Xenopus tropicalis: one gene and its partners. Each later gene encodes a partner of the first gene's protein in a complex. Links are inferred from orthologs where the notes say so. Each region holds a gene or a part of one and is shown on either strand. Other genes may lie near its edges. The genes, in order: pigc, pigy and pigp.

Region 1 (7,633 bases):
CAAGTTTTTTACAGGTATTTTCTTCTAAAGCATTATAAATAACATAGTTTTCAGGATAGGGCAATTATTGGGGGAGGGTAGAATAGATTTTTTAGTTAAACATTTTTAGCGTTACTTTTCCTTTAAGCAAAAGGGTTTCAGCCTCAAAGTATCAGGCATATCAGTCAAGAATAAGGCAGAGCAAAAACTCTGTAGCATGGGGCAATAGTGAGCAGTAGAAATAAAGATAATATATTTGTAGCAAAAGGAGAACATCATGTGAAATGAATCCAATAATTGAAGACACATGTATACTTACTGCAAGATGAGGTTGGATAACTGCTAGATAATGGACTAGTGCACAGAATGAACAGATGGATAGCTTATGAAGAGGCTGTACATGCTATGGCCACCTTTCTATTGTACCAACAGTCAGAACATTGAAAAAAGTAGAGAAGCAGAGCTGTGGCTTCTATACAGTTTCTTATCTGCCAATGTGTTACACAACAGCAGATAATGGACATAGTAGAAAAGAGTTATAAACAGGCCCGATCTCTGAGCCAACTAACATACATAGTACATGGGTATCTGTAGGCTGCCCTTGTTATATCAAAAATCATGGCCAATTTAAGTAAAGAAAAGTTCATGAGCATACTGGGTGCATTTATTATAAACTTTAATGGAAACAGAAAAGTTTAGAGAAATTCCAGTGGCTAAACACACAAAGATATATTTGCACCAAATCCAGTGCACAGTTCAGCTAAAATCACAGCACTGTTTGCTAGATTCAAAACTATCCTAATCCACAGTGTGGTTCTTATAGCCAAACCAACGCCAAAGCCCTAATGTCATGGGACTTATATGTCCTGAACAGCTGAATATAACAAGCTTTTTATCCCATTATTATGCAGTTTTGATGATTTTATTATCAAACTGAATTGTATAAGCGACTTAGTATTCTACAAAAGTTTTTGAATGGGATGCTTTATCAAAAGGTATAAGCACACACATGAATATGCAAGCATTTTTTCCCAACACTTGTATGACATCAAAAATGGATAATGCAGTTGGAATGGTGAGTGGCTAATTATCTGTAAAGAATAAACGTTTTTTGGCAGTCATTTAAGGCATCACCATTACCTCACAGTTAAACATTTTCCCACATTAATGTACTTTGTTTTCAGTTCACTCTGTTTATCTTAGTATCTGAGATTAAACTTAGGCAAGCATTTGTCATCCTTCTTATCATCAGGCTGACAAGCTAACTACGTGGCTTTGGTTAAGTAACTGAACATATTCTCAGATCTACCAATGCACCGATCAAAGTCTAGTGGTACAAATAACTGCTCCAACTCAGTCAGATGGATACTTTAGTCATGAACTTGATTCAATATTCATCTATGGATAAACTACCTGATAGCTACATAGATCCTGTTTACTACATTGGCCAAATGTACATTATTTTCACTCCAAATAAACAAAGGCTGACATGCTCCCATCTTAAGCTAGCCATACATTGCATTTTCGTATGGTTTTCAAACCGTGTGTGGGCTACGAATTAGTGTCCTGATAATTTTCATACCATAGCAATCAGTAATTTAGTCGATCGGACAGGTTAGAAAATTTAAGTTGGATGAAGATAAAATCTGTGCATCTGTGTCCTTGGGGGACCTAAAATGCATTCCCAGAAAGTTACTTTCATACGATTAGCCAACTTTCCCACATACAAAACATTGTCCAATGGCTTTATCCTACAATTTTAGTCTGAATTTTAGTTTTAGATCGTTGCATTTAAACATACAATGCATATCCGAATGTTCACTGGAAGAAGACTAAAATTTGATCATGTATGGCCATCTTAAAACTGGAGTGTACTTATAGAAGCCTTCACACTGCAGTGATGCCACATTTTGCTGCAACTGCAATTGTGCTTCAGACAATAATAAAGGCAACAAAGTGTGGGCCAATAGGAAGTGCTTTTGACTACAGCATTTGTAAGCTGTGGGGCTCAAGAGGTTTAGGGTGCCCTAAAATAATTCTGCTGCAAGCAAACAGATTATAAGCCTCTGTTCTATTTCTTGTACAAAAGCTAGTTTCATGAATTAACATGTAGAAGAACTTGGTATAATAAGATGTAACATTTTTATGTGAAGTGGAATATGCGCTATGTGCAATTCCGGCTCACTGAATAACAATGGGCAAATCTGCACAAGTGTGGTCACCCAAAGCAACAGTCAGCAATTTAAATTACCCAATTTGAAATCCCATTATCTCACAATGACAAAAGTCAAACTAACTCCTAATATTAGAGAAAATCAACACAGAAAATGTGGAATTTCTTTCTTCTGATCACACAAAAGATATGGTAAAAATAAAAGAAGCAATGTCCTACGCTACCTTTATAATACCATGAGCAAAATGCATATGCTTTAACAGCTTCATGGAATATGTTTCTCTTCTGAATTGTGTTTACTCTGGTGTGAGACAGGCAGGGGGTAGTGGCAGAGATTTACTGACCTGGAAATATTCTATTTGCAGATCAAAATGACCTGTGTTTTTAATCCTCCACCTGATAACAGCACTGCCACGTTGCACTGAGCTTTTTTCAAAGGTAGTTATGTTCTATGTACTTAATAAACAAAGCAGGCTAAACAGTAATCAAGAGACATTTTGCTAAATGTTAGTAGGCACATTTATTTTATAACGAAATGGAAAAGTAGAATACAATTTAATCTTTATGAAAACTTCAGACTCTTTATAATGTAAAAAAAAAAAAAAAAAATCAGTCAGATGAAGCTCAAAAGTAAACAATTTATTGTAAGTGACTTCTTTAGGTTTGCCATGTGGTATAATTAGTCTGGGCACTATTCCGGGCACCTTTGTTAATGGGAATAAATAACTATCTTGCTCTGGACTGCAGCTTATCAAATTTTTGTAGGAAGAAACCAGGTGTTGGTTCACACATTTGACATTGACATATACAGTACAATTCTTCTGCGGAGGAAGCATGCATATACATTGCCGGAACTACACTGCAAATCCATTAAGTAACATGGGTTGTTCTGACCAAACAGAGGGTCTTTTTCAAGTGTAAAAGATTCAAGGGACAAACACAGATTTAAAAAGGAAAATATATGTCTAAAACACATTGGCAAAAAATGAGCACAATAAAAAAAACAAAAAAAAAAAACAACTTATGCTTAAAGGAAAACTATACCCACAAACAATGTAGGTCTCTATAAAAATATATTGCATAAAACAACTCATATGTAAAACCCTGCTTCATCTAAATAAACCATTTTCATAAAAATATACTTTTTTTTAGCAATATGTGCTATTGGGTACTGCTAAATAGAAAATTACCATTTTAAGAAGTAATGGCCGCCTCCTTGGATCATAGTATTAACGGTGCACACAAACAAGCCAAGGCACACATACATGCTAGGCCACATCAGCCAATTATTGGGCAGAGTTCTGCCCATATTATTAACATAATATAAACTATCTGTTGGTTAAGTATTCATTCTGGAGGTATAGTTTTGCTTTAAAATGTATTTTGCCATATACTCCTAATTTTTTTCCATTATAAAGCACTGTTTGAAAAGCCCCTCCTTTATAGACAGGGCAATTTGTTCAGAGATCCTTATTTACCTTCAAACAAATATACAATCCCCTCCCTTCCCTAAGGTGCAGGGTTTGAACAGGAGCTTCTTAGTGGAACAGGAAGTGCTAAAATGAAACTGGTTTCCTTTTCTTATTTTTTTCTTAACGGTTTCTTCATTAAAACAACAGACCTAAGGAATGTATTAACCTGCCTATTACACAGTAACTTGGATAATTCCATCTAATGAAAGGCAACTGCTAAATTTTAGCCTTGCCTCAAACATAGGGGCTGATTTACTAACCCATGAATCCGAAGGGGAAAAATTCAGATTGGAAAACGAACATTTTGCGATTTTTTCGTCGCCGTTACGACTTTTCGTAAATTATCGCGACTTTTTCGTAACCATTACGACTTGCACGAATTGTCGCGACTTTTTCGTAGCCGTTACGATTTGCTCGTATCTTGTCGCGACTTTTTCGTATTGAGCGCTCGTAAACTGCGGGCAAAACTTTCAGACTTAGCATGATTTTGGAAGCCTCCCATAGGACTCAATGGCACTCTGCAGCTCCAACCCGGCCCAAGGGAAGTCTCCCATAGGGCTCAATGGCACTCTGCAGCTCCAACCTGGCCCAAGGAAAGTCTCCCATAGGGCTCAATGGCACTCTGCAGCTCCAACCTGGCCCAAGGAAAGTCTCCCATAGGGCTCAATGGCACTCTGCAGCTCCAACCCGGCTCCAAGACCCTTGATAATGATAATGGTCTTAGGAGGAGACCGAAACGTTGGCCTGTTTTAACAGCATGTTTAAATAAAAGTAACGTTTTAATCTTTAAAAAATATCCTGGTGTGCACCCAATTTTTGGATAATTAGACACATGGAGGTAGCACCCAGGTGATTTATATTAGGGGTTTGGTGTGCTGAAAATTTTGTGGACTGTAATATATATATATATATATATATATATATATATATAGATGAGAGAGAGAGAGAAGGAGCAAGACTACCAACTGGCAACTTAAGAGACAGTATATAAAGGAGGCAGCAGTTACATATTCAAGAGCTCACTTACAAAGTGCAGGGCTGTTGCAAACTACAATTTTGTACTTTTTTCCGCACACTACAGTAGCAAGCCTTTGACTTATGGAACCTACTTTCTGCCGTTCTGTGCGGACACCTACGCAGAGAAGCACTAGCCATATTCCCCCCACCCCATATGTCAAGGCTAATATTGTCGCAACAAACAAAATGAAATGTATAGCAAACCGCAGTGACAGTAGGCAGGTTACAATGTAGGGAAAAACAATGGAGAGACCCTGTGGGTAGCTACCAACTCAAAAGAAAGCTGCCAGTAAGTGGGTACCTGATTTCCTAAAGCCAGGCTTCCGCGTTTCTCCAGCCCCTTGCAACCTTTGGCTGAGCAGCCAATCAAGAGCGGTCGTATCTTGAAATGCTATTGGCTGTCAGAACCCTTTCACTAGAAACAGGAAAGGCCACAATAGTTGCCAGGGGCGCCTTGATTCCAATTCGCTTAACACGAGTCTCCGCCCCCAGTCCATTACAGAGGCCTTGTTGTTCAAAAGAGCTGAGGCATCCTTTCTGGACCAAACCAATGCATTTGAAGGGGGAGGGTTGTAAAGGCTACGTCTGATTCGCTAACCTCGGCCGGAGTGACGCGTCTCCTTCCGCCTAAGCTGGCTGTGCAGTTGGAGGCATTCGCAGGGGATCGGCCGCGTTGGAGGATTGTAGCGTGGTGTGGGCAGTGCTTTTACGAAGGGGAAGTAGGGGAAACAGTGGCACGGCTCTCCCCGGCGCCATACACCAACGGGGACATTTTCAATGGTGGCTTGTACGACTAGTGCTCATTAAAGTACACGGGAAATGCCAGCGAGGATGAGAAAATACGTCCGGGAAAGATGACGAAACGGGTGTTTATTATATTCTGCCTCTTTCTGGTTGGCTCATGGTGAGTGCTTAGGGCCCTGCGCCTGTCTGTTGGAGCGTAAATGCCCACATTGCTGTTACTCGCTGACAGGTAGTCTCGCTGTCATGTACCCTGAATGAAGGGGGGGGGGGGTCTCCCATCATTGTGTGAAAAGCAGTGTCCTAGGAGTCCTGGTCTTAGTATAAATGTAACACTATGCCATTACACCAACAATAATTTCACTTTTTCTTCATGTTCATATGGATGAATTAAATGGAATCTTCTCCTAAAATGTATAATGAAATTGTAATTCCCAGCAGCTTTACAGTATACATTGATTTAAAACACTCAGTGATTTTTAAGCTATTTCTAAATGTAATTGCTGGCTGAAAGTTGTAGCTGCCCTGCTGCTTATATTCTCTGCACTGCTGGCTGTGACTCCTGAAACAATGTAGCAGCATGCATGTCAAAGATTGCTTAGAGTTCTACTTTCTTTCATTATGCCAAAACCGTTTTGCCCCTTAAATAATAACTGGCTAGCTAAGAAAACTTTTCCTTTCGTTAGTACACAGAGAATACCTCTTGGCTTTTATTTTGGCAGAGCTTGAAAGCATAGTCCAGCAACATGTTTAGCTGAGAGATACCATCAGAAATAGTTTCTGTAGGACTTTCCCTAAATGACAGCTGTGTGTTATAATTGGAAGATCTGCAAATTGTGGGTCACAAGCTGCTTGTTATTGCCCCATGTTCATTTGTTGTAATGTATCTTCCTATGGGCTGTGATAAAAAAATTATTTTGAATATCTTTACATTTGCTCATTATATTTCTGACTGCCTATGATTATGAAAGACTTCTGTTTATAGTTATGCTGGGGGAACCAGAATTGGGTCTCATTGGTTTTCCCAGACCTGGAATATCCTGTATCTTTTATATTAAAGTCTTATTTGCATTTAATATAATTATTTTGATTTAGATTTTTATTCACTAGGGAATGCCTACACTGTCATAGATAGAAGTTGGAACTGCTGCTGAGTCAGATTGACAGCATTCTGTTGTATTTAGTTTCAGGGAATGTGATTATGAATGCAGCAGTTGGTATCATTTTAAGGGATGCCGGGGTTGGCAAATTCATATATTGACTAATGGGAAAAAAACTTTCTAATATACATTAATTGAAACTTTTCAGTGTTTTTAGGTTTATTTGCAAATGTAATTGCAATTCAAAGCAGGATGTGCATGGCTCCATATATCCACTACTTCGAACTGTGACTCCTGAAACTATGTATCAAAGGCAGCTGTTTAAAAGACCTGGATTAGAAGTGATTTCTGTTACATTGTTTCAAAAGTCAAAATCAGAAGAAAGTGCAAAGAACAGAAAATGATAATCAAATACTTTTTTTCAGTTACATTTACCAATAGTCAATAGTGAATAATTGAAAAATGTTTAGAATTACTTTTTTTTTTTTACAAAAACAGGTTTTTGTTGGTTGTCTCTTTTGACCCCATAGTATTTGGGACAGCTGCTGTCAGGGATTATCAACAACTGTTTTGCCATAGTAATGTAAGGGCTGAGCATAATAAAGTTAAATAAAGAGTTAAGCTTGACAATGTATGGTATTTGACCAGCTAACCTGTGGGGGCAAACGGATGTATACCATATGAGGGGCCATCTTTCTATTGTTCTGCTTGTTTGGGTCAGAAGGAGGACCTTCTTTTCCTCATCTGCTGCTGTACCATACACTGACTGACATGATGGGATTGGCTGATTACATTTCCAAACCAGCCTGATCAACAAACTTGATATCCATAGTACAAATATATTGTTTGGGATTATCGGTTATAAAATATTGTTTTGATTTTAATTGTACACTGAAAATAAAAAGTCTACAGCCTGCAAAATGGCAGAATGTATTTCACCTTTATTGCAAAATTATCTATACAAACAAATCAGAATCTGTTTATTGGAAAAAAAAGAAATCCTTTAAAACCATGGTTGCATTAGTGCAATTAAAGCACCTTTTTGATTTTATTACAGCACTCAGTCTTTTTAGGTAAGAGCGTCAGTTTGGCACATCTGGACTTTGCAGTTTTTACCCACACCTTCTTGCAAAAGTTTTCCAGATCTGTCA
Region 2 (7,465 bases), on another chromosome or scaffold:
TCTGCCTGACTGAAAACCGCAGGCAAAGAGAAGCAGAGCAAATGCTTTGTGTGACCATGGCCTAAGCCCATCACAAGAAAGCATTTCAATCAATGTATTGGAAGAATAGTGCCATGTTGTGATAAAATGTGATAACTCACTGCCTGTATCTGTACATTCCCAGCATGCCTCTTTTGAACTAAGCTCTCTCTAGCACAGGCAGCAGTCGATTCAAGGTTCTCTCTGCCAGAGTTTAGAGGCCTGTGGCTATTTGCACAATGCCCCATTCTGGCAAAGTGTAAAAAACAGCCAACTGTGTCTTTTTCCACTTTGCAGCCATTATAAATATCCCCTTTTATCTTTTGGTTTCATGACATTGTCAATAGTCACCTACAATGATTTCCCTTCCACATGTAAAGTAGATAACCACTACTTGATGAAACCTCATGTTCTCCCAGAAGGGCCTGCATGGATGTATATACTGAATGTATAAACTAAGGCATAAAAGGGGTGGTTCACCTTTAGGTTAACTTTTAGTATGTTATAGAACTGGCATTCATTTCTTTATAGTTTCTGAATTATTTGCTTTTCTCCTCAGTCTCTTTTCAGCTTTCAAATGGAAGTCACTGACCCCAGCAGCCAGCACTTCATTACTGTCAATAATAATATAGAAAAGGGACTTGGAATGACGATTTTAAATGACTTTAAAGAAAGCAAGCAGGGTAGGACTGGGCCCCAGATCTCCCTTCCCCAACGTGCTAAAAGTAATTTTAATTTACACGTGCGGCAGCCCCGGTGAGCCCTGCACCCCACACTCCGACAATTATTGCATCAGTAACTAGGATGCATTTTTTGCTTTCAATTTTATTGTTAAGCACATAAGCTGCCAGAGAGCAGCTCCTATTAACTTACAAATGGGGCAGCACCCAGGTAAGTGTACCTTTAGGAATAGAGTCTTTAAAGGAGCTCAAATAGAAAGGAAAGTACAAAAATCAAAACAATTACATTCATTTTATTTCTATTAAATGTTAATATTTCTATGCAAAGCTGTAACCGACCAATCTGAAAACATGTTCTCCATATCTTATCTGAAAGCAGAAGGATGAATGAGATATTTTCTGTTCATTTATGCATTAATTGTGCCTAAAGAGCTTGAGTCCCATCCAAGTCCACAAATGAAAAAACACATAGACAGGCAAAGTGATGGGAAGCAGAAGGCTGTAAAAACACAAGCTTGCTGTACTGGTGCATCCATTTGGGAAATCCTCTTCCACTGAGGCAGAGTATAATAACCCTGTCAAAGACACCAGAGGAATGAGCACAGTCAGCACAGGGAGGGAGAAAAACATGGCTTCTTTATTGTTTGCAGGAACAAATCCAAAAAACTATGTTGTCTGCTCTGTGTCTGGGCTCTCAGGCTTCTGATCTTTATGAATCATGCGGGCATCCTGTGGTATCATATTTGGGATGCCATCAACAATTGGGTAAGCTATACCCAGCTCGTCATTAATTAACTCATTGGTAGATTCTTCATATCTAGGGAAAAAAAATGACATATAAACAATCAGATCTGGATCAATGAATGGGGAATCACAGCCGTTTATATTTAATGTCGGGAAATTTGATCACCAAAATCAGTACATTTCAAACCACAAGCGTCATTCCATAATCAATATTATATATATATATATATATATATATCGAGCCAAGGGTGGCACACCGCTTCAATCCTTGTCCCGGGTGCACGGTAAAAGAGTTTAAATATTGAAAAAAAGACCAGCAACACCGGATCTATTGCAAACAATCGATTATATATTGAAAAATACATGAACAGCCAACGTTACGTTTCGGTCCCCGTCGGGACCTTTCTCAAGACCGAAACGTAACGTTGGCTGTTCATGTATTTTTCAATATATAATTGATTGTTTGCAATAGATCCGGTGTTGCTGGTCTTTTTTTCAATATATATATATATATATATATATATATATATATATATATATATATAATATATATAAAATGCATTTAGGAGTTCTAGTTAAGCTTGAAATAGCAAAGAGACATCTGCTTGCTGTTAATAAACTGAATATTTCCCTATACAGAGTACAGGCTTAGGTGTATGGGACACCCTGTTCCCCTGCTGACCTGACTGACTACTTTGAGACTCAAATAAAATGCAGTAGACTGTCCTCAGCCTGCCTTCTCCAGTTACCACAATTCCCCGCACATATAATAAGGAATAGGGAAAATAACATCACTGGGCAATGCATTGTGGGTAATGTAGTTTCTGAGTGCTGTCTGTAAGATGTGGAGAAGTTGTTACAATTTGTAACATCAGTGTTTTAGTCCCTCTTCTTTAATCCTCTTCCCAGGATTTTAAATAATGCAGAAAGAAGGTTAGAAGGTTTAGCAGAAAGAAACAGTTTACAGTGCTAGGTATATTAGGGGTTTCTGTGTTGGGCTCTTTAACAAATTTTGGTTCATAAACTGTAGTTCCCCTTTCAATAAAAATAAGCAGCGATATTTTCAATATAAGCCCTAACATTTGGCTAATGGTTAATATCAATATAGTCTTTCTAAAGGGTAATTAATTAGAAATTATAAATAGAACAATACGTGGCTATAACTTTAAGTCAGAGAAACCCAAGTCTGATGGGACACTTTGCTCAAACTAGGGGCAGCCCAGCACTGCAGGGGGCAGTATCCTTGTATTGTAGCCCGCACCTCTGGGGGGAAGCAATGCTTAGGATCATAGGTGATCTTAATGACCCCCCCACCCAGCAGCAGTATACTGACTGTATCAGAGCCCTTTAACCCAGTGCCAGGTATTTTACCTCAGCGATTTCCTTGAGAGAGGGCAGACCAGGAATTGCAAGAGGGTAGGATCAAACGTCTTGCTGTCCTTCAGGCTCTGTTCCGGGGATCTGGCAACTAAAGAGCAGTGCAAGGGCCGCAGTGTGACAGCTGGCAGGGCGCCAGTGGGACAGGCAGCGTTTAGTTTCCGCTGGACTAAGGTATTATATGTTCTTCCCCATGCCCTGACAGCCAGCATGTTCCACTTTCTGCACAGAAACTGACTGACACACAACCTTTACTTCCCAGGAACGATTCCACCCCTTCTTCCTGTGCAGCACTATAAACAGCCCCTCACACGACACAAAGCAGTCTCAGTGGTTCCTACCATGTGCATGTAACTATATAAACCCACAGCCTGCAAAACCCTCAAAATATATCTGAAAGAGTTGTGATTAAAGTCTTTCTGTAATGTTAAACTACCTTTACTTGATATTATTGCTTGAATCTGGTTTGCCCTTTGATTCCTGCGATCACAGATATGTAACCCATTCACTGCCAGGCGATTTTTCCTTCTGTATTTGTGTTAAACCAGGTACCAGCCCACATTGCCTGACAGGTGGTAGCAATTTAATTTCTAACAGTGCTCAAAATAAGTTATAGGTAAACAGGAATACAGTAACAGTATTCCTGTTAAAAGCAAAAAGCTTTGTTCACTGTGGAATCCTATGGAATTAAGATGTTGTACTGTGTTAGCCATTAAAAACAATGCAGAAAATCTGATACCTTTTATTGGCTGAGTAAGAAAAATTGCAAGCTGTCCAAGCAGGGTCGGACTGGGCCGCTGGGACACCGGGAAAAGTGGGCCCTGGCGGCCCAGACCCGACCCTTGCCGATGCTCCCCCTGCCCGAGTGCTCCTCCCCTGACGTGTTAAATTTACACGCTCGGGGGAGGATGTCAGGTGGGGGGCCCTGCACGGGCACCTACAAGGCCCCTGGGGCGGGAGCCCCAGTGGGCCCTTCACTCCGCAGTCTGACCCTGTGTTGAAGCACCCAGGCCCCTTCGTCAGGCAAAATACAAATGAAAGCTGGAAAGGCACAGCATATATATAGATCATTGAAAAGGTTCATGGGCAATAAATTGAGAACCCTATAGGACACAGAAACAGGGTCGGGCTGGGGGGTGCAGGGCTCACTGGGGCTTCTGCCTCAGGAACCCCAGCCCCCCCCAACCCCTGCAGAGGCCCCAAACACCCTCCGACCATGCTTCTAAAAGAAACTTACCTGCGGTATGTTGGGGGAGGGTGACGGTGGATCGCGGGAGAGCCCTGGGGGAGGGGATCTGGCCCGCCGGGGACCAACAGGTTTTTTTCCCAGTACCCCAGCAGCCCAGTCTGATACTGCACTGAACAGGTTGCGGGTAGTATAGAATGCTGCAGCACAAAGAATCACAGAGTAGGGAGTAGACAAGGTAGAAAGCTACAGCATGGATAAAACAGGGAGGAAGTCAGGGGGAGTATGGAGCTAGTCGGATGGGGTATGTGACAGGTAGGGAGCTGGGGGGGGGCTTCTGTGGTGGGGAGGGAGTTGAACACACACAGATATCTTAAAATGGACACTAGATAAAGATTGTTCTGTCTGCTGCAATTTCCTGTGCACAGGGACATTTTACATTGCTGTGGCTGGATCTTATCTTCCTTATTTTCCATACAAGTTCAGTTCTTCTTCTGACAAACTTTGGGGGCGATTATTCTGAGACCACACACGGTCCAAAAATTGTTTGAGACTAGGTTTTGTATGATTTTATTGATGTGTGTATGGCCAGTTTGTTCTAAGCCAGCAGTAATTAAAACAACATGGCAGCAGGCTAACCGGCTGCAAGGGGTATTTGATCATTAGGGGAGCTGGTTGTCATGAGTGTGCATAGAGAAGCTGGTGAATTACTGTTAGTGTTGCCACCTTTTCTACAAAAAATACCATTCCTTCTCTTGTTGGTAGCTATCTTGTCTATTAGTACTGTTGGAATCAAATTTCAGTTTTATTGGTCAGGCCTGTAAAATAACTGCTGGGAGGCAACTCTATTCATTATATGTCAGGTAGTGGATAGAAAGTAGGGACGCACCGAATCCAGGATTTGGCCAAGATTATGCTTTTTTCGGCTCCTGGCAGAACTGAATCCGAATCTTAAAAATCACGTGACTTTTTGTCACATAAACACGGAAGTTAGAAATTTAACCCTTCCGTATCCTAATTAGCATATGCTAAAAAAAAAGTGCATTCGGTGCATCCCTAATAGAAAGCCAGCGCGCCCTGGGTGGCTTGACTGTTTTCTGGGTTAGGTGGAGTTTAGGGACCTATTTGGTTAGGACAATCCGATGTGGTTGAATTAACAGAACACTAGGGAGCTGTTTTGGTCCTGCACTAATATTTTTCCTTCAACTCAAGCTATCCCAAGAAAGAATAGTAACGCAGTTATATGCACAGACTAAGGGGAGGATAGGGCCAGCAAGCTACTTGTCAGCAAATTGGGAGATAAGGTCAGAGTCTGTAGCCTGAACAGAATCTGATCTAAAAGGGCAGAAGTCTTTTGAGCACCTCATTGTTAAATGTCCCTCATTAGTAAAAGCCAGTAACTAGCAAGGGATTTTTCAGGAATGACTTTTCTATTTAATTAAGCTACCCCTTAAATAGGGAAACAGTTTCAGGCACAAACATATGGGAGGCTAGGGCTAGCAAGCTTTTGGGGCAGCAAAACGGGAGGTAGGGCTTAAGTCTGTAGCTTGAACCAAATTCCATTTAAAAGGAAATAAGCTTTAAAGTGCACCTATCATCCTCTCATTTTTCCCCTGTAACCTATTTTTGGCACACTTCTGCAGAAATTGGATTACACTCACTTCTGGGAACTGGGTTTTACAGTGCAGTGCCTCCACCTAGTGGTCACTGAGGAGCACACCTCAGGGGGATTCCACTAGAAAAATAAATCACACACAGTTTGCAGAAAAGATAAACTTTATATAGCAATTTAGAAAAATGTAATCACTGTAAAAGGCAAATAATATGACCCTGCTTTGGGAAATGCATGTTTCATTTAACATGCATTTTAACTAAACTTTTGGCACAGTCTCTCCTAGGACACAGTCCCACACTTCTTTCCTGGTGGAAATACCCTTTCCCAGTTCAGTCTCTGGCAAAGTCCCTTCCCCAAGAGTTCTTTAGTTTCCCCTGTAGTGCTACCTGCCCCAAAGTACCACTCCCTTTGGATAGGCAGTTGCTCCACATTGCAGGCACTCGATCAACACCTGCCCTCACACAGGGAACATACAAGGATAACAACAGAAACCCACTGGCAGTTTAACAAGATGCAGAATGCTCTCTCCATTTAGGCTGGAGCTCAAAAACCAGCTGAGCACTCTGTAACCTTTCTGGTTACTGGCAGTGCAATCACCTGTCTGCTGCTCTCTGTTCCTCTGGATCGGGTTCTCTATGGCTGGCACTGCAGCAGGGGCCCTTTAAAAACCTGCCAACCCCACCCTTGGTTTTGGCTCCAAAGCCAGGTACTCTCTGGATCCTCCTTTTCTTCCATAAGTGCACTGGGGCTCCCAGCCAATCGGGTTTTTCTCCAGTCTTCCCGCTAGCTCATTATGCACATGCGCTTGATGTAAGAGTCTTTTCATCGGCGTCGTGATTTTTTCGTATTGAGCAATAGTAAACGGCGGAAAAACCAATCCGTTTTTTTCGCGACGGCGACAAAAAAGTCGTATTGGCGACGAAAAAATTGCGGGACATACGAAAAAGTCGCGACGGTGATGAAAAAGTCACAAAAATACTGATCATTACGAAAACCCGCGTTCGGACGCTTTCGGTCCATTCATGGATTAGTAAATCTGCCCCTTAGTCTCTAAAAATCTCCACACACCCAGCAGTAGACACTAGTACAGGGGTGGGCAAACTACGGCCCGCGGGCCACATCCAGCCCGTTGGCCTTTTTAATCCGGCCCGCTGACTCCGGGTCCCTTTAAATAATTTCTGGGCCCTGATTGGTTGCGCTTCGTGCGTGCTCGTGCGCAGGGGGCGCAACCATAAAAAAGGATGCAGCGGGGAGCCGGGGAACAGACTCAGCGGAACGATGGAGAGAGCTGCAGGTCGGAGAGATGGAGGATGCTGGTGGGGGGGGGAGCTGGTGGGAGGACGTTGGCCCGGCCTGGCCCGCCTGTGAGTAAATGTGGCCCCCGAGCCAAAAACTTTGCCCACCCCTGCACTAGTATATATAAGATACATTTCAAAGGCTCCTGAGGTGAGCATTATAAGTGCAAGGACTGAGCAAAGGTCAGACTTTTAAAATATTTTTCCTTTGTTTTTGTTTTTTTTTGCATTCAGTTTACCATTTTTACTTTTATTTTGAATTAATAAAAGTGAAGTTTTAATATATTAGTGCATCATTCTTCCGAATACTTAATGTAGCAACATTATCCTTTTATGGTACAGGTATGGGACCTGTTATCCAGAATACTTGGGACCTGAGGTTTATGGGTACAGGATAAGTAAACCATTAAAATTAGTTGATGTAAAATTGATGAGACTCCTATTCTAAGCACTTTTGCAATTTAAATTATTTATTGTTTTTAATTCCAAGATTTTAAGTGTTTAAAGTACTATTAATATAAATGAATATTGTTACAACCGCATCAGCTAC
Region 3 (6,124 bases), on another chromosome or scaffold:
AGGAGGAGCGTTGGTATCACCCCCAGTGTTTGATGGGAGGGGGGGTGCCCTTATTTATATATACAGCCCATAATAGTGAGGAGAGATGGATGTGCGCCAGTCGGCGGGCAGCAGGGGAAATTCAGCCATGGGGCAGCAGCTTTACGGATGAATAGAAGTAATGAAAGGAAGGCTGATAAGAAACAAATCAGACAACTTGGTGTCCATGAATGCTGGGCTGTAAAGCTGGCCATACACGCACCGATACTATCGTACGAAACCTCGTTTCATACGATATTCGGTGCGTGTACGGCAAGTCAGTGAGTCGACCGATATTGCAGGAAGCTGCTGATATCGGACGACTCGCCGATCGGCCAGGTTAGAAAATTTTGATCGGGCGCCATAGGCGCCTGACCAAAATCTGCCGTCAGGGCTGAATCGGCAGAAGGAGGTAGAAATCCTATTGTTTCTACCTCCTTATCTGCTGTTTCAGCCCTGACTGTGTGTGGCGGATCTGACGATGTTTCGTGCGACCGATGGTCGCACGAAACATCGTCAGATCGCCACGTGTATGGCCAGCTTTAGACCAAGATCAGTCCATGCAGGGTTACAGAATGAAAATGCCCATTACTGCCCCCTATTGATAGTATGGGCTTCTCTTGCTTCTGTAGACACACAGGTCAAGGCACCTAACTGGGTATATAGAGCAGGCAACTTGCTGACACCCTCTGGTTTAATCCAGTTTGGGTTCTAACCACTGTCCAACTGGGCTGACTGGGCCCATCCCCATTTTAAAGCATCCAGCCAACTCCCCGGCGATTTGGGTTCCTTTTGCGGTAACCGAAAACCAATCCCTTTCACCTCCAAACTCGGGTCTATGTATAATATATTAAAAAAATATATATATATGTTTGTGTGCGTGTGTGAACTTCCCCTTTAAAAAAACAAATCACCCACACAGACTGTTTAGAATGCAGCAGAAGAATGATCTCTCCTTCAGAGACTTCAAAATCAAAGTGGCCGTTCTCATAGGGAGTTTTTATTGGTCCAGTCTGTCTAAAAAGGGGAAACCCTAATGGCTGATTCATCACTGATAGGATCTGACTGTGACTTACAGATCTTTCATCTAAAGAGCAGCCAAGGGTCTTTGTGTGTTTTTCCCAGAGGTTTCACCCTTGCAAACTAGGAAGGTAATGGTCACATATTAAACAGGTAAAATATATATCATTATATGTGTAGGGCACTCCATTGCCCCAGTGCAGCAAGGCAGACACTTACAGTTTATTCAATGGGCCACTCAGAGGGCTTGATGGAGGAAAGTGTATTTATATCATCACAAGTCCTGCATTTTCCTTTGCAAGGAGTCTCCTAATTGCATTACTATATAGCCAAGCTTATTATATTGTCAGATTAAGGTTTATAAAGATGTGCAGCCCCTGCCAATTCTACAGTGTGGCAGTTGGGGGCAGGAAGGCCTGCAGGCTCATTAAGGGACATGACAGAGGTAACTGGGGACACATTTGTATGCAACTATCTTTGAAGAAATAATTATCAGCATGGCTATATGCAGAGCTGGGCCAAATGCAATGGGCAAGCCCCCAGCCGTCATCTGCTAGCCAACCCCACCTCTCTGCTCACTGATTCTGATGCGCAGAGCCATAGAGGTATGGTGGCCATACACGGGACGATTCGCTTGTTTGGTGAGGTCGCCAAGCGAGCGGATCTTCTCCCGATATGTGGGAGATATTAGGCTAATTTGATCTTACGGCCCTAGGGCCAGATTCCATCGGATAAGGGAACGCATCAATGAGCCGATGTGGGGGGCCGGCTGGGGGTTCTTCTGGTATTCTGGCAGGCCCATGGACACTGCCAGAACTAGGGGGAGGCAGAAAAGGCACGTGCCTAGGGTGCAACAGTAAGGGGCACTAGGTAGGTACCTCTTCTGCCTACACCTAGTCTGAGCTCTCTTGCCCCACCTGCACTTGTCACTGCATGTCCCACCCACTTATCAAAGCACATATGCGTGCACTGAGGGGATTGGGGCCCCCTAGGGTGCCCGCACCATTTGGCCTACCTCTGAGGGTGAGAATCTTTAGGACCCTGAAATTCCATTTTTTAATCTCTGAAAGGTAAGCATGGTTGGTGGCATTGGAAAGGCTGCTTCAGGGTGCAGAATCGTACCTGGCCAGGCCAGTCCCACCCAGTTATTAAACCCCTTTAGAATATCATGTACATATAAATCATAAACATTCTCGTTTGCTATGTAGCACAGTGTTGCTTTAATGGATTTTGAATAAAACCAAGTGTGTTGAAATACAAATAGCAGGCCTCATGTTTGTATATACAGTGCAAATGACAATACTATAACGAAAGGGATAAAAGGCACGGCAGCTTCTCTGATCATACAGGAAAAACTTAAAGGGAAAGTCCACCTTTATATTAGCATTCAGTATGGATCCATTCTGAGCAAATTTGTAACTAGTCTCTATTAGTTATTTGGTATAGCTTGTCACAGAGAAACCTATCTAGTTTGCCATCTCTGACCCCACCAACCAGAAAAAGAAATCAATTTGGAGGGTTCAATTGTATTTGGGGTGGCCACCTGGCCAGTAAAAAAAATGCTCAAAGTTTTAATAGGAAAAAAACATAAAAAATCTAGGAAAGCCAGCATTTGTTTTTCCAGAAAAGGCAACAACCCTAATTTTACTGCTCTTATTTTTAGATGTTTATCTTTCTTTTCTAGCTCTCTCCTATTGATCTTCCATCATACTGATTTTTAAACTGCTAATTGGTTGCTAAGATCATTGAGCACTAGCAACCAGATAGCAGCTGAAATTCCAAGCCTCAGTGTTGCAGAGCAAAAAATGGTTTGTATGGGTTTTCAAAATGACAAATATTAAATAATCACTAATTGCAAACTGTCTTAGAATTCCAATAAAAGTGAATTTCAAGGTAAACTGCTTTTTTTTTTATATAGCAAGTGAAGTGGCAGCACAGTATAAATGTGACTGGGAGCATAGACCTCTGCAGAATCTGCTGTTCCCACATCTCCAAGTCTGCGCATTTGCACCTCTAAATAAAACACTTGCACCCATTGGTTTATGGGGCCCAAGTAAAAAAATAAATAAATAAAACACAGTCCAGAAATATATAGCTACATGAATTATCATAAAGAATGGGGTTTTGTGGGTCCGAAGGATCTTCCGGCATCATCTCTCAGTGAGGAAGAACATTTTATTAACCTCGCTGATGGAAATGTCCCTCAGTGCTGGGATGGCATCCTCTTGGCACGCCTTCTCTTGCTGATTTTTGGCATAAGAGTCTGGAAATTGTGGTAAAAATTTACAAATTACAACACTCAGTGGCACTGAAAGAACAGGTACCGCTGATCATCTATTAGCTCTGAGCGGCACTGGGAGTTCTTGAGGTTGCCCATAACTGCAATAAACTGCACTAGGATATTGGCCAATCTAGTGGCTGCTTTCAGTCTGTATACCCAGCATGCATTGCAATCCTTGGGCTGACAATGTAGCACCAAGGGAGGTTATTTACAGAATATATATATATATATATATATACAGTGGTGTGAAAAACTATTTGCCCCCTTCCTGATTTCTTATTCTTTTGCATGTTTGTCACACAAAATGTTTCTGCTCATCAAAAACCGTTAACTATTAGTCAAAGATAACATAATTGAACACAAAATGCAGTTTTTAAATGAAGGTTCACGTTATTAAGGGAGAAAAAAAACTCCAAATCTACATGGCCCTGTGTGAAAAAGTGATTGCCCCCCTTGTTAAAAAATAACTTAACTGTGGTTTATCAATTTCAATTTTCAATTTCAATATCAATTTCTGTAGTCACCCCCAGGCCTGATTACTGCCACACCTGTTTCAATCAAGAAATCACTTAAATAGGAGCTACCTGACACAGAGAAGTAGACCAAAAGCACCTCAAAAGCTAGACATCATGCCAAGATCCAAAGAAATTCAGGAACAAATGAGAACAAAAGTAATTGAGATCTGTCAGTCTGGTAAAGGTTATAAAACCATTTCTAAAGCTTTGGGACTCCAGCGAACCACAGTGAGAGCCATTATCCACAAATGGCAAAAACATGGAACAGTGGTGAACCTTCCCAGGAGTGGCCGGCCGACCAAAATTACCCCAAGAGCGCAGAGACAACTCATCCGAGAGGCCACAAAAGACCCCAGGACAACATCTAAAGAACTGCAGGCCTCACTTGCCTCAATTAAGGTCAGTGTTCACGACTCCACCATAAGAAAGAGACTGGGCAAAAACGGCCTGCATGGCAGATTTCCAAGGCGCAAACCACTTTTAAGCAAAAAGAACATTATGGCTCGTCTCAATTTGCTAAAAAACATCTCAATGATTGCCAAGACTTTTGGGAAAATACCTTGTGGACCGACGAGACAAAAGTTGAACTTTTTGGAAGGTGCGTGTCCCGTTACATCTGGCGTAAAAGTAACACAGCATTTCAGAAAAAGAACATCATACCAACAGTAAAATATGGTGGTGGTAGTGTGATGGTCTGGGGTTGTTTTGCTGCTTCAGGACCTGGAAGGCGTGCTGTGATAGATGGAACCATGAATTCTACTGTCTACCAAAAAATCCTGAAGGAGAATGTCTGGCCATCTGTTCGTCAACTCAAGCTGAAGCGATCTTGGGTGCTGCAGCAGGACAATGACCCAAAACACACCAGCAAATCCACCTCTGAATGGCTGAAGAAAAACAAAATGAAGACTTTGGAGTGGCCTAGTCAAAGTCCTGACCTGAATCCTATTGAGATGTTGTGGCATGACCTTAAAAAGGCGGTTCATGCTAGAAAACCCTCAAATAAAGCTGAATTACAACAATTCTGCAAAGATGAGTGGGCCAAAATTCCTCCAGAGCGCTGTAAAATACTTGTTGCAAGTTATCGCAAACGCTTGATTGCAGTTATTGCTGCTAAGGGTGGCCCAACCAGTTATTAGGTTCAGGGGGCAATTACTTTTTCACACAGGGCCATGTAGGTTTGGATTTTTTTTCTCCCTAAATAATAAAAACCCTCATTTAAAAACTGCATTTTGTGTTTACTTGTGTTATCTTTGACTAATAGTTAAATGTGTTTGATGATCAGAAACATTTTGTGTGACAAACATGCAAAAGAATAAGAAATCAGGAAGGGGGCAAATAGTTTTTCACACCACTGTATATATATATATATATATATATATATATATATATACACACACACACACATATACACTAGATTCTATATACTGTAGCCAGAGTCCCACTTACCTGTTACAGTGTGTATGGAGTCTAGGGGAGCAGTGCTCATCATGTTTATACCAAACAGAAAGATATAGGCGATGCCGAACACAACGAGGAGGTAGACGGGCACTGCCACAGCCCAATATCTATAAACACAATTTGTAAAAGAAACTGAAATGCCAGACAACAAAGGCATTACTATCAGTCTGCAATTACTATACTGTAGGTAGGACTTTGTGGCTGCACACAATATGTATCCTGTTATCCTACTGACATACTGTGCCACATTTACTAACAAATATGCTCTAATTTGTGCAGAGTAACTGATCACAGATGTGCATTCATTCTTCTGTCTGCAGGAGTCTGATTAAAGCTAATTGTTTTACTGAAGGCTTTGGGTGCAATGGGGCTAATATACCTGACAGGGTTGGACTGGGCCGCCGGGACACCAGGAGCAGCCCAGACCCGACCCTTGCCAGCGCTCCCCTGGCCTACGGTGTTCCTCCCCTGATGCGTTAAACTTAGGCGCGTTTAGGGGAGGACGTTGGGCAGAGCCACTGTGGGTGGTTAGGGGGTGTAGTGGGGGCCCCTAGGGGATGCAGGGGATGCGGCTGGCAGGGCACCTCCAGTGCCCCTGGGTCGGCAGCCCCGGTGGGCCCTGCACCCCCCAGTCCGACCCTGATGCCCGATGTTAGTAAATGATCCCCTTCTGTGTATCTGGGGCTACAAAGACTTTTCAGACTGACACTATACCATGTAAACCTGCAGCCATCCTGCTTTGCCCAGAGAGAAAGGGAACACAGTGCATACAGTACAGCTATGTGTATAGTGCTTACATCAGTACTTACTTTTGGGGCCAGTACGTCAGTCC

What was found.
Region 2: pigc (region 1) and pigy share a complex: the UniProt entries of both Homo sapiens proteins name them as parts of the glycosylphosphatidylinositol-N-acetylglucosaminyltransferase (GPI-GnT) complex. The link is inferred for Xenopus tropicalis from reciprocal best matches to the Homo sapiens genes PIGC and PIGY.
Region 3: pigc (region 1) and pigp share a complex: the UniProt entries of both Homo sapiens proteins name them as parts of the glycosylphosphatidylinositol-N-acetylglucosaminyltransferase (GPI-GnT) complex. The link is inferred for Xenopus tropicalis from reciprocal best matches to the Homo sapiens genes PIGC and PIGP.

Annotation. Positions count from the first base shown.
Region 1 is NC_030680.2:107,289,212-107,296,844, reverse strand, and holds the start of pigc (phosphatidylinositol N-acetylglucosaminyltransferase subunit C), read right to left. Parts: upstream 4,969-7,633; 5' UTR 4,943-4,968; intron 1-4,942. Other genes in the region: suco (SUN domain-containing ossification factor), read left to right, coding at 5,496-5,545. UniProt on the Homo sapiens protein: Part of the glycosylphosphatidylinositol-N-acetylglucosaminyltransferase (GPI-GnT) complex that catalyzes the transfer of N-acetylglucosamine from UDP-N-acetylglucosamine to phosphatidylinositol and participates in the first step of GPI biosynthesis.
Region 2 is NC_030677.2:67,792,863-67,800,327, forward strand, and holds pigy (phosphatidylinositol N-acetylglucosaminyltransferase subunit Y precursor), read right to left. Parts: upstream 4,255-7,465; 5' UTR 4,057-4,254; intron 3,075-4,056; exon of another isoform or gene 3,032-3,074; coding exon of another isoform or gene 2,814-3,031; intron 1,516-2,813; coding exon of another isoform or gene 1,365-1,515; 5' UTR 1,329-1,364; coding exon 1,113-1,328; 3' UTR 824-1,112; downstream 1-823. UniProt on the Homo sapiens protein: Part of the glycosylphosphatidylinositol-N-acetylglucosaminyltransferase (GPI-GnT) complex that catalyzes the transfer of N-acetylglucosamine from UDP-N-acetylglucosamine to phosphatidylinositol and participates in the first step of GPI biosynthesis.
Region 3 is NC_030678.2:12,649,096-12,655,219, reverse strand, and holds the end of pigp (phosphatidylinositol N-acetylglucosaminyltransferase subunit P), read right to left. Parts: coding exon 6,102-6,124; intron 5,400-6,101; coding exon 5,281-5,399; intron 3,302-5,280; coding exon 3,189-3,301; 3' UTR 2,240-3,188; downstream 1-2,239. UniProt on the Homo sapiens protein: Part of the glycosylphosphatidylinositol-N-acetylglucosaminyltransferase (GPI-GnT) complex that catalyzes the transfer of N-acetylglucosamine from UDP-N-acetylglucosamine to phosphatidylinositol and participates in the first step of GPI biosynthesis.